Linked DNA regions of Drosophila melanogaster. The protein of the gene in region 1 purifies or fractionates together with the protein of each later gene. This does not show direct contact. Each region holds a gene or a part of one and is shown on either strand. Other genes may lie near its edges. The genes, in order: mtm and Sbf.

The links.
Region 2: the proteins of mtm (region 1) and Sbf purify together in Drosophila melanogaster (affinity purification with western blotting; one study listed by BioGRID). This does not show direct contact.

Annotation. Positions count from the first base shown.
Region 1 is NT_033779.5:6,034,059-6,039,146, reverse strand, and holds mtm (myotubularin), read left to right. Parts: upstream 1-2,131; 5' UTR 2,132-2,335; coding exon 2,336-3,869; intron 3,870-3,924; coding exon 3,925-4,250; 3' UTR 4,251-4,416; downstream 4,417-5,088. Other genes in the region: CG31643 (uncharacterized protein), read right to left, coding at 1-944; CG9117 (uncharacterized protein), read left to right, coding at 1,332-2,018; CG9109 (uncharacterized protein), read left to right, coding at 4,824-5,088.
Region 2 is NT_033777.3:11,793,764-11,799,047, reverse strand, and holds the start of Sbf (SET domain binding factor), read left to right. Parts: upstream 1-2,099; 5' UTR 2,100-2,204; intron 2,205-2,553; 5' UTR 2,554-2,612; coding exon 2,613-2,667; intron 2,668-2,738; coding exon 2,739-2,842; intron 2,843-2,911; coding exon 2,912-3,232; intron 3,233-3,291; coding exon 3,292-5,284. Other genes in the region: ClC-a (chloride channel-a), read left to right, coding at 1-57, 151-195, 284-319, 505-774, 901-930, 1,009-1,242, 1,301-1,606.

The DNA.
Region 1 (5,088 bases):
TTTAGATCTGCAGACTCCATCTGGTGTATGCAAGGTCGCAAGACCAGCATGACCTCCCGAATCAATTGGGTGTGGGTCTGCGACCACACTGGAATATTCAGCATGTGGATCACCTTCAGAAGAGCCTTAGGGGTTTCGCTGCTGAGGACGCCGCTTTGCATCATTTCAGTCAAGCGCAACTTGAAGCGCGTAAACAGCTCCTCATCAATGAGAAAGTGTAGCTGAAAGAGGCACGTGGACAGAAGGCGAACCTGCTCTGCGCTGCGACACCAATTGATGTGATGTTCCAGGTGCGGAATAAAGTTCCTACACACAAGCGGAGTGAAGAAGTCGCGTTCCAAGTTGATGCCCACCGAGAGGCGAGACAAGGAGGTCAAGGGAATGACTTCGTCATCAACTTGTGACTCGATTAATTGAAGAGATCTCGTCAGCACGGCCTCCACGACTGCCTCGGAGTTTGGTATATGCATTTTGCGCAGGTACAGGTAGCATCTACTGAGATCATCGATCTCCAGTTGGTGTACATAAGGGGCCAACTTTGGGAGCACGTTAAGCAGCACGCGATCCGTGATGGCATCTTTACTTGCCTGCTCCGCGTCGTGATAGATGTTCCACAGCAGTGAGATTCCCATCACCACATGGGAGCTCTGCAGGCCGTCACAGCTCTCCAACACATCTAAAATCTGGTTACCCGTCTTGGCCTCCTCCAGTCGGGTTAGAAGAGCATCCTGTTCCCGTGGCACGCCAAACTTGTCTTGGAGATCTCCGTTCACCAGCTGCGAGTGCTTCCTCAGTTTTTGGCCCAATGCCGGCAGCAAGGCAGCTGTTTGGATGGGCGGCTTTGCGCCAATGTTAACGTGCCGTCGCAGGAGCTGAAGCTGACGCACTCGCAGAAGGTATTGTAGGTACTTCCATTGTGTCCGCGGCAGGTGGTTCAGATACATGCCACTTTATCTCACGCTTATTCAGAAATCGTTGAATAATAACAAAATTACGCCGTATAAACATGTGAGTGAATTTTTGGCGATCAGCTGGTGTCGGTGTTGCCATGAAATCCTAATTTCCATTATACTGAAACCAATAATGGAATCAATGTGTAAAAAAAAACTTAAAATAATTTCTGAACTGTGATTAGCGGTATACAAGTTAGATAAGTAATTACTTAATTCGTAAGTAATTTGTTTATTTCGTCAAAAGTTTCATAGTGGCAACTCTAGTTTTCAACAGGTTGTTGACGAGTTGACATTTCTGTTTGTAAGCAACAGCTGATAAGCAGCTGACCCTAAATAATTTAATAGGCTAGAGCGTTATCGTTGTTAAACAACTAAACAATGGCATACACTGATCCTGCGCAACGAAACCAGGTGACCGTGCTCCAGGTCGGCTATTCTCGCCAAGAAGAAGGAGACGAGTCCGCCATGCGGGCTAACTGCACATGCACACTGGTCCGCTGCCGGGATGGCACCAACATAATCGTGGACACACTGACGGCCTGGGATGGAGATCACCTGCGTTCGTTGTTGGGCCAGCAGGGACTAGGCGTCGATGACATCCACGTGGTGGTCTGCTCTCACGGACACTCTGACCACATCGGTTGCAACTATCTGTTTCAGAAGGCACGAATGCATTTGGTCGGCGCATGTGCCTCACATCACGACCTCTACATGGACCACCTTGGTAGTGGTAATCCAGACGAGCAACTGGCCCTAGATTCGAATGCCGAGGTGGTAGTGAGGCGGTCGCCAGGACACACCCTCAGCTGCGTTTCAGTTCTTGTGGAAAATTCCCAGCTGGGTGGACGGGTCGGTATCACCGGAGATCTCTTCGAGCGTCGCGAGGACATCGACGATGAGAACATTTGGATGGACGCTGGAAGCGAAAACGAGAAGGTGCAGCGCGAGGAGCGCAGTAAAATGGCACAACTGTGCGAGTTTATAATCCCAGGACATGGTCCGATGTTTTCTGTCACACAATCAATGCGCTGTAAACTTAAAGAAGACGCCACTTCTAACACTTAATTTATTAAGCATTAAATACATATGTTAGAGATTTTTTTAAAAGCGGAATTGTTCTAGCTTTCCTTGATTACCAGTTAAATGTCTGAAATAAGTTGATTAATTCCAATACATAAAAATCAAATTTTCCGCCACTACATAATGTCCCTTTGGTACTTTTGTCGGAGGAATGGGAAATTATTCCAGATGATTTTATATTGCGTGAGTTGGCAGCACTGCTGCATGAGTTTTGGTGAATTGCATTTAGCTAACAATTGGAAAAGAAAACACAGCTGCAACCAGCAACACAATAGCCAAACACCACTCGTGTCCATCCGAAAATGGATCCCTCCGCGAGCCTGGCCGACAAGTTGGCCTCCAAGACTGCCAGCAGCAACTCTCTGGACAGCAGCTCCAAGTCCAGTTCGCTGGGCTCCAAGCACGGTGGCGGAGAAAACGGCATTCTGCGGGACACGCCCTTCGGCTATCTGGAGGGCGAAGAGGACCAGGACCAGAAGAACGACGTGACCTACGTGTGTCCGTACCGCGGCCCCGTCTTCGGCGCTCTTACCATAACCAACTACCGTCTGTACTTCCGGTCGCTTCCCCTGCGGGATCAGGAGCCGCCCGTCGTCGTCGACGTGCCTCTGGGCGTGATCGCGCGTGTGGAGAAGATTGGAGGTGCCACGTCTCGCGGTGAGAACTCGTACGGCATCGAGATTTTCTGCAAGGACATGCGAAACCTGCGATTCGCCCACAAGCAGCAGAATCATTCGCGGAGGACGGTGTTTGAGAAACTGCAGGCCAACGCCTTTCCGCTCTCGTACAGTGGGCGCCTCTTTGCATTCGCCCACGCCGCGGCCAACTCTGTGAACGGTAACGGAGGCTGGGACGGCTGGGCGGTATATGAACCGCTGGCGGAGCTGCGCCGCTTGGGCGTTCCCAACGATATGTGGCGGGCGACCAAGCTAAACGAGTCCTACGCAATTTGCGACAGCTATCCGGCCGTGTGGGCTGTGCCCAAAGCGGCCTCCGATGATTTCCTGAGGCGCGTGGCACAGTTCCGATCGCGCTGCCGCCTGCCGGTTTTGTCCTGGATGAACCCACGGACTCAAGCGACCATTACAAGGTGTTCCCAGCCGCTGGTGGGTGTAAGTGGCAAGCGAAATTCCGACGATGAAGCATACCTAAGCTTTATCATGGAGGCGAACGCCCAGTCAGACAAGTTGACCATCATGGATGCGCGACCAAGCGCCAATGCGATTGCTAACAAGGCCAAGGGCGGCGGCTACGAGTCAGAGGACGCGTACAAGAACGTGGAAATCAACTTCCTCGACATACACAACATCCACGTGATGCGGGAGAGCCTACGCAAAGTGAAGGAGGCTTGCTTCCCCACCACCGACGACTCAAAGTGGCAGACGGCTATTGACAACACACTGTGGCTAAAGCACATTAGGTGCATCCTGGCCGGCGCCGTTAGGATTGTTGACAAGGTGGAGACCATGAGCACCTCCGTCGTAGTTCACTGCTCCGACGGCTGGGATCGCACAGCCCAGCTGACTGCTCTTTCCATGTTGCTGCTCGATCCGCACTATCGCACAGTGCGCGGTTTCGAGGTTCTCATTGAGAAGGAGTGGCTCTCCTTTGGCCACAAGTTCCAACAACGCATTGGTCACGGCGACAACAAGCACTCGGATGCAGACAGATCTCCGGTGTTCCTGCAATTTATCGATAGCGTCTGGCAGGTTAGCCAGCAGTTCAACAACGCATTTGAGTTCAACGAGCACTTCCTGATAACCATCGTGGATCATCTGTACTCGTGCCGCTTCGGCACCTTCCTCTGCAACACGGAGGCCGAGCGTGTGGCCGAAGGTTAGACTGATTGCTGTTTGCATGGGCTTGGAAGTAATTTTCACATTTATTGTAGATCTCAAGCACAAGACAACATCCCTGTGGACGCACATCAACTCGTCGCTGGACCAGTATTTGAATCCACTCTTTCCCTCGTTCACGCACGGCGCCGAGCTAGTGCTGCGTCCGATTGCCAGCGTGAGATCGGTCCGCTTGTGGAAGGGCCTATACTGTCGCTGGAATCCTGGTCTGTGCGCTCCTCAGCATGGCTGCCAGCGAACCCGCGAACTGCTATCCAAGCAGGACCAGCTCTTTAAGCTCGTCAACGAGCTGCGGCTCAAGTCGAACAACCGCAGCAACAGCATGCAGACAACTACGCGACTGGCCTCGCCTATGCACTAATAGTATTGCTTTTTTATTCCCCCTACTTGTACGCATATGTAGTGCACGTATTGTGAACTACGTTCTAATTCCAAATAAAAGTTTTTCTTAAATGGAAAACTAGTCGATTCAACATTGTATCATTGAACCACATTATCGAATCTAATTAAAGTGTTAAATGTCTGAGAATGTTTTAATTATTTCATGAATAACATCATATAGTTCAAATCGTATAGCGTTTTCGCAGCTCAGTGGAGCTACTTTTATATGTGCCTTAAACTAGTTTGGATGTCAAAAAGATACCTAAACAGGTGACCAACTGTTGCACGCTCCTTGTGATTCATTCATAAACACCGCTTCATAGAGGCGCCTGCGCGTTGGACTACGCACGTTAAATCCCGAATCCCACTTTTGACACCACAGGACACAAAACATTTCGGCTTTGCGCCAAAATTAAATCACAGCTGCCTCAGTACGACATCGCACGTTCATTGGGACAGACGTGTTCCGATTTCCGGTAGGAAAAGGGCAGGTGTTTGTAAAATATCAGGAAATGCGTTCGGAACTCTTAGAGTTCCGCAATAGATATTAGTTATGCCTACTAGGATATGTGTGCTGTTTGGGCTTCTGTGCCTCGCAAGCTTATGCTGCGGTAGTAACAAGCCAGGAGAGGTGCTCCTGGTTATCGCCTGTCCCCCGCATCCTCAGCAGGCCAGAAGTGATTGTTTAGCCTTATCGCACAACGTGCTGGAGCAGCAACGGGCACTGGAACTGGCGGGGATCTTCCCCGAGGACTTTGTCCTGAAGGTCCATGTGATGCATGAGCTCTTTAACTCCTGGACCATGCTGGACGCACTGC
Region 2 (5,284 bases), on another chromosome or scaffold:
GAGGTGGAGGTGCCGCGAACTCCTAGCACTCCCGGTGTTTCCAAAAAGGTTCAGCTGGTAGGTGCATATTTTCTATTTACCGCATAAAAATTGGGTTTTGGGTTATCTAAGTTGCTGAGTAAACCGGAAGAGGAAATCTCTCTTTTCAAGCCTGCACAAAGTAATTGGGATTTTGTAACAGATCAAATTATGCTGGTAAGTTACTCACTAACAACATTCATATCATATCATTTCATTCATTTTCTCGGAATATGTGTGTTTAACTTACTTTAATATCTGCAAGCAAGTAAACCCTATTTCAACGGAATCAAATAAAATGGTAAGCCTTAAAACGAAGTAAAATTATAAAATAAGGGTAGTATCCACGCATGAAGTAGTACTATGGGCCTTTTTGAAGTAGAAGAAATACTTAATAATTTCAGTGGAAGATTGAAGTAGAGTATTGCCAGTTTAAAATATCTATCTATACATAATTTTGTAATCTCAAGATTAATGTTTAAAAAGCCTGCCGAGAAAGATTTCACGGATAAAGCATTATCAAATAATGGAGATAGTTCAAAGCAATCACCGAGCATTAAATTCAAAGCAAATAAAGTGGCAGATGTAAATAGATCTCCTCAGACGGCCAAGAGGTGCTCGAAAATAAGGTTTGCTAACGAAGTTGGAGTAAATGGTTCGCCCACTCGAACGAAATGTAAAATAAAACCAGAAAATGTATTGGGTTACTCTATAGAGGATGTGGATGAAACAACAAATCCAGAATCGCTGGCTGAGGTATGTAAAACTGATGCAAACTTTTGATTAATATCTATTGTCAACGAGCTTACAACGCATTATGAATCATTAACTCTCAAAGTTAACATACACATTTTCTCTCCTATCTTGTAAATCCCAAATAAGAGCATTCAAAAGCCGAAGTCGGTGCGATTGGTACGTTTAGAATATTTTAATTACATAACCCCTTATTTCAATCAAGATATAATATCTACCGATTTGATTGATTTACAGCCCAGGGAACGTGTTATTGACATGTCACCGGAGGATCAGAAGCAATGGGAGCTCGAGGAAATGTTGAAGCCCATCGATTTGCAGAAGGCCAATGTCCACATCGATCCCTCGCCATTTCAGCTGGTGGAACGCACCTCCATACTCAAGGTTCACTCGTTGTTTTCCATGGTGGGTATTAACCACGCCTATGTCACCAAAATCGGAAGACTTGTTGGTGTCGTGGGACTCAAAGAAGTAAGTCTTGTTTGATATCCTTGATGATTATAACAATAACACATGTTTTATTAAACAGTTGCGAAAAGCCATCGAGGACATTAATAGCAATAGTTTCGTGCCCCCCACACGGGATGAGGATGCGGATGAGAAGCCGGCGGTGGAGAAACCTCTGCTGTCGACGAACTCTAGTGATAAGGCCGTGGACATGACCGTCACCTCCATGGACTCGGCACTATCCAATTCCGAGAACTGTTCGGACATTGAAATGGAGCACATAAAGCACACGGATAAGGGCACTGTATCGCTCACCATGCCGCCACAGGAATCTAAGCAAAGTCCATCGGCGGACAAAAGTAACACAGAAAACGGAAATCATGCTTGAAACAAGATGATCGGCCATCATAATAGTTAATACGATACGTATACGTAATATGTTTGTAAAGATCAGCTAAACACATCTATCTTAAGTTACGTCTTACACGAGTTAGTCATCAATGTTATTATGTATTTATATCTCGTTAGTTCATAATGTGAAAAATATCGTGATTTATATTTAAGTTGAAAAGAAAATCAAGTCACCAACGAAGGCTGCGTTTGATTTTTATTTATATACTGGGGAGTATTAATGTAGTATACAAGTTTCCTATTTTTCCAACAGATTAATTATATTATAATTTCCCCAAAATTGTTTAATGAATATTTAAGGCTAAGTGGAAATTAATTTTGCCATTTTCCAATTGATCTTTTAAGTTCGCGCCGATTAATTTGTAGCGCAGTCCGAAACTATCGATACATTCAAAGCGCCAATCAAATATCGACACATTCAATCAGCTGATGCAGAAAGTGTTGGATAATTCGTGAAAATTATTGTGTATTGCATCTATCTTTTTCTATGCGAACTTAAAAATAATTATTATAGCCCCGAATTCTTTGAGATTTGCTGGCAGTTAGCGGGGATTTCGGCTGCAGCCGGCTGCGAGGTGTGTGCGCGGATATATATATATAGATTGGCCAGTCCGATTCCCGGCGAACGATCCCACTTTGCGTGGCGGGGTGTGGTTAAAGAAAAAAGAGTGAAGACCAAGACTCGTAAAGCCTGAAAAACGCCTCCGGGCGCTATAGACAATACAATAACAATTCGGCCCCTCGATCTCCGTGGAGCTAATCATTTATGCCGAGCGCAGAGACGGAGCCTAATTAGCATATCAAATTGGATGACGGCACTGGCGAATAGAATCCATCTGCCGCTGTCCCCTGCTACAAGAACGCAACAGAACAAAAACAAAAAAAAAATCAAAATAAAACATCTTCAACTCTTTGTTCTCCTAGATTTGGCTAGTAAAGAGCCGTAGGATCCTAGACGACTGGCCGGCTATGTGGTGGGCAAGATGTCCCGGCTCGCTGATTACTTCGTAATAGTCGGCTACGACAGTGATAAGGAGAGTGAGTACATCCACATGCCCATCAGCCATAATTAGCAATTCTCTGACATTCAACAATTTCCCTTTTCCCAGAAACTGCCAGCAATGTGGGCGGCCAGCCGACGTGCGGCAAGATCGTTCAGCGCTTTCCCGAGAAAGATTGGCCGGACACTCCGTTTATCGAGGGCATTGAATGGGTGGGTGCGCTTGAAACATTCCTCACTTAATTCGAAGCATATCTGAATTTTAACTTATCATTCCGACAGTTCTGCCAGCCGCTCGGCTGGAGTTTATCGTACGAGAAGCAGGAGCCCAAGTTCTTCGTCTCTGTGCTGACGGACATCGATGCCAACAAGCACTACTGCGCCTGCCTCAGCTTTCATGAGACGGTGGCCATCACACAGACGCGCAGCGTCGACGACGAGGATGAGACCATCGGCAGCAGCAGGCTGCTGGGAGCCACACCCTCATCGATGGATGGCATCACAACGACATCCACGCCGGCTTCCATTACGCACCACAGCGTCATGTATGCACCAAAGTGTCTGGTGCTTATATCGCGTTTGGACTGTGCCGAGACCTTTAAAGTGAGTTTAAAAGTCAGACCACCTAAGATACTAAATTAAGCCATTATCTTAATTTACAGAATTGTCTCGGCACCATATACACGGTGTACATTGAGAACCTGGCGTATGGATTGGAGACACTCATAGGAAACATTCTGGGCTGCATCCAAGTTCCTCCAGCGGGTGGACCGCAGGTGCGCTTCTCTATAGGAGCAGGAGACAAGCAGTCGCTCCAGCCTCCGCAGAGCTCCTCCCTGCCCACGACTGGAAGTGGAGTCCACTTCCTCTTCAAGCAGCTGGGCATCAAGAATGTGCTGATACTGCTTTGCTCCGTGATGACAGAGAACAAGATACTGTTTCTTTCTAAGTGTTATTGGCACCTGACGGACAGCTGCAGAGCTTTGGTGGCATTGATGTATCCCTTTCGGTATACTCATGTTTATATACCAATTCTGCCGGCTCCACTCACGGAAGTGTTATCCACACCTACGCCATTTATTATGGGCATACATAGCTCACTGCAAACTGAGATTACGGATTTACTGGATGTTATTGTGGTGGATTTGGATGGCGGCCTCGTTACCATTCCCGAGTCGCTGACGCCGCCTGTTCCTATTCTTCCATCACCGCTGTGGGAACAGACCCAGGACCTGCTCAGCATGATCCTGTTTCCAAACCTGGCGCAGGCCGATCTGGCGTTTCCCACATTAGAGCGGCCTTCAGCTATTGCTAAGACTGACGCCCAGATTGATAAGGAACTTCGCGCCATATTCATGCGCCTTTTCGCTCAGCTGCTGCAGGGATATCGCTCCTGCCTGACTATCATTCGGATCCACCCAAAGCCGGTGATCACCTTCCATAAGGCAGGATTTCTCGGCGCCCGCGATCTGATAGAGAGCGAATTCCTGTTTAGGGTGCTGGACAGCATGTTTTTCACGACGTTTGTCAACGAACGAGGCCCTCCCTGGCGATCCTCCGATGCCTGGGATGAGCTCTACAGCTCAATGAACGAACTGCTCAAATCGGAGGCGCAGAATCGAAATCTCGTAGGTAGAACTCAAAGATTCAAGGGATATTTTAATTTTACCTTTCCTTCCTACTTTCAGATACTCACACATATCCAGGAATTGGGACGAGTTCTATATGAAAATGAGGGCACTCTGGCTCACATCAGCTATGCCCAAAAAGTACTGCGTCCGCCGGAAGGCGCATTCCAGCGTATTCATCAACCAGCCTTTCCGCGCATAAGTTCGGAAAAGGTTGAGCTTATCATACAGGAAGGGATACGAAAGAACGGAGTGCCACAACGCTTTCATGTAACACGTAATCAGCACCGTATCATTCCGATGGGACCCAGGTTACCCGAGGCATTAGATGTGCGTCCCAATGTCCAAAACTCGGCTAGGCGACTGGAGGTGCTGCGGATCTGTGTGTCATACATCTTTGAGAATCGAATTACAGATGCCAGAAAACTGCTGCCGGCTGTGATGCGCACCCTAATGCATCGGGATGCGCGCTTGATCTTGTGCCGCGAGTTCTTTGGATATGTGCACGGCAACAAGGCAGTTCTGGACCATCAACAGTTTGAATTAGTTGTGCGATTCATGAACAAGGCGCTGCAAAAATCATCCGGCATTGATGAGTACACAGTGGCTGCGGCTCTGCTGCCCATGTCCACAATCTTCTGCCGTAAGCTCTCGACTGGAGTAGTGCAATTTGCGTACACAGAGATACAGGATCACGCCATCTGGAAAAACCTGCAATTTTGGGAGTCTACTTTCTTTCAGGATGTCCAAGGTCAAATAAAGGCGTTGTATCTGCTTCACCGACGTCAGAACGAGCATCAAAAGGAGGCCAACTGTGTGCTGGACGAAGTTCCTCTAGAGGAGCCCACGGCGCTTGAAATTACAGCCGAGCAGCTGCGCAAAAGTCCCAACATCGAGGAGGAGAAAAAAGCCGAGCTGGCCAAATCGGAGGAGTCAACTTTGTACAGCCAGGCAATTCACTTTGCGAACCGTATGGTTTCCCTGCTAATTCCACTGGATGTCAATGTGGATGCAGCCAGTAAGCCGA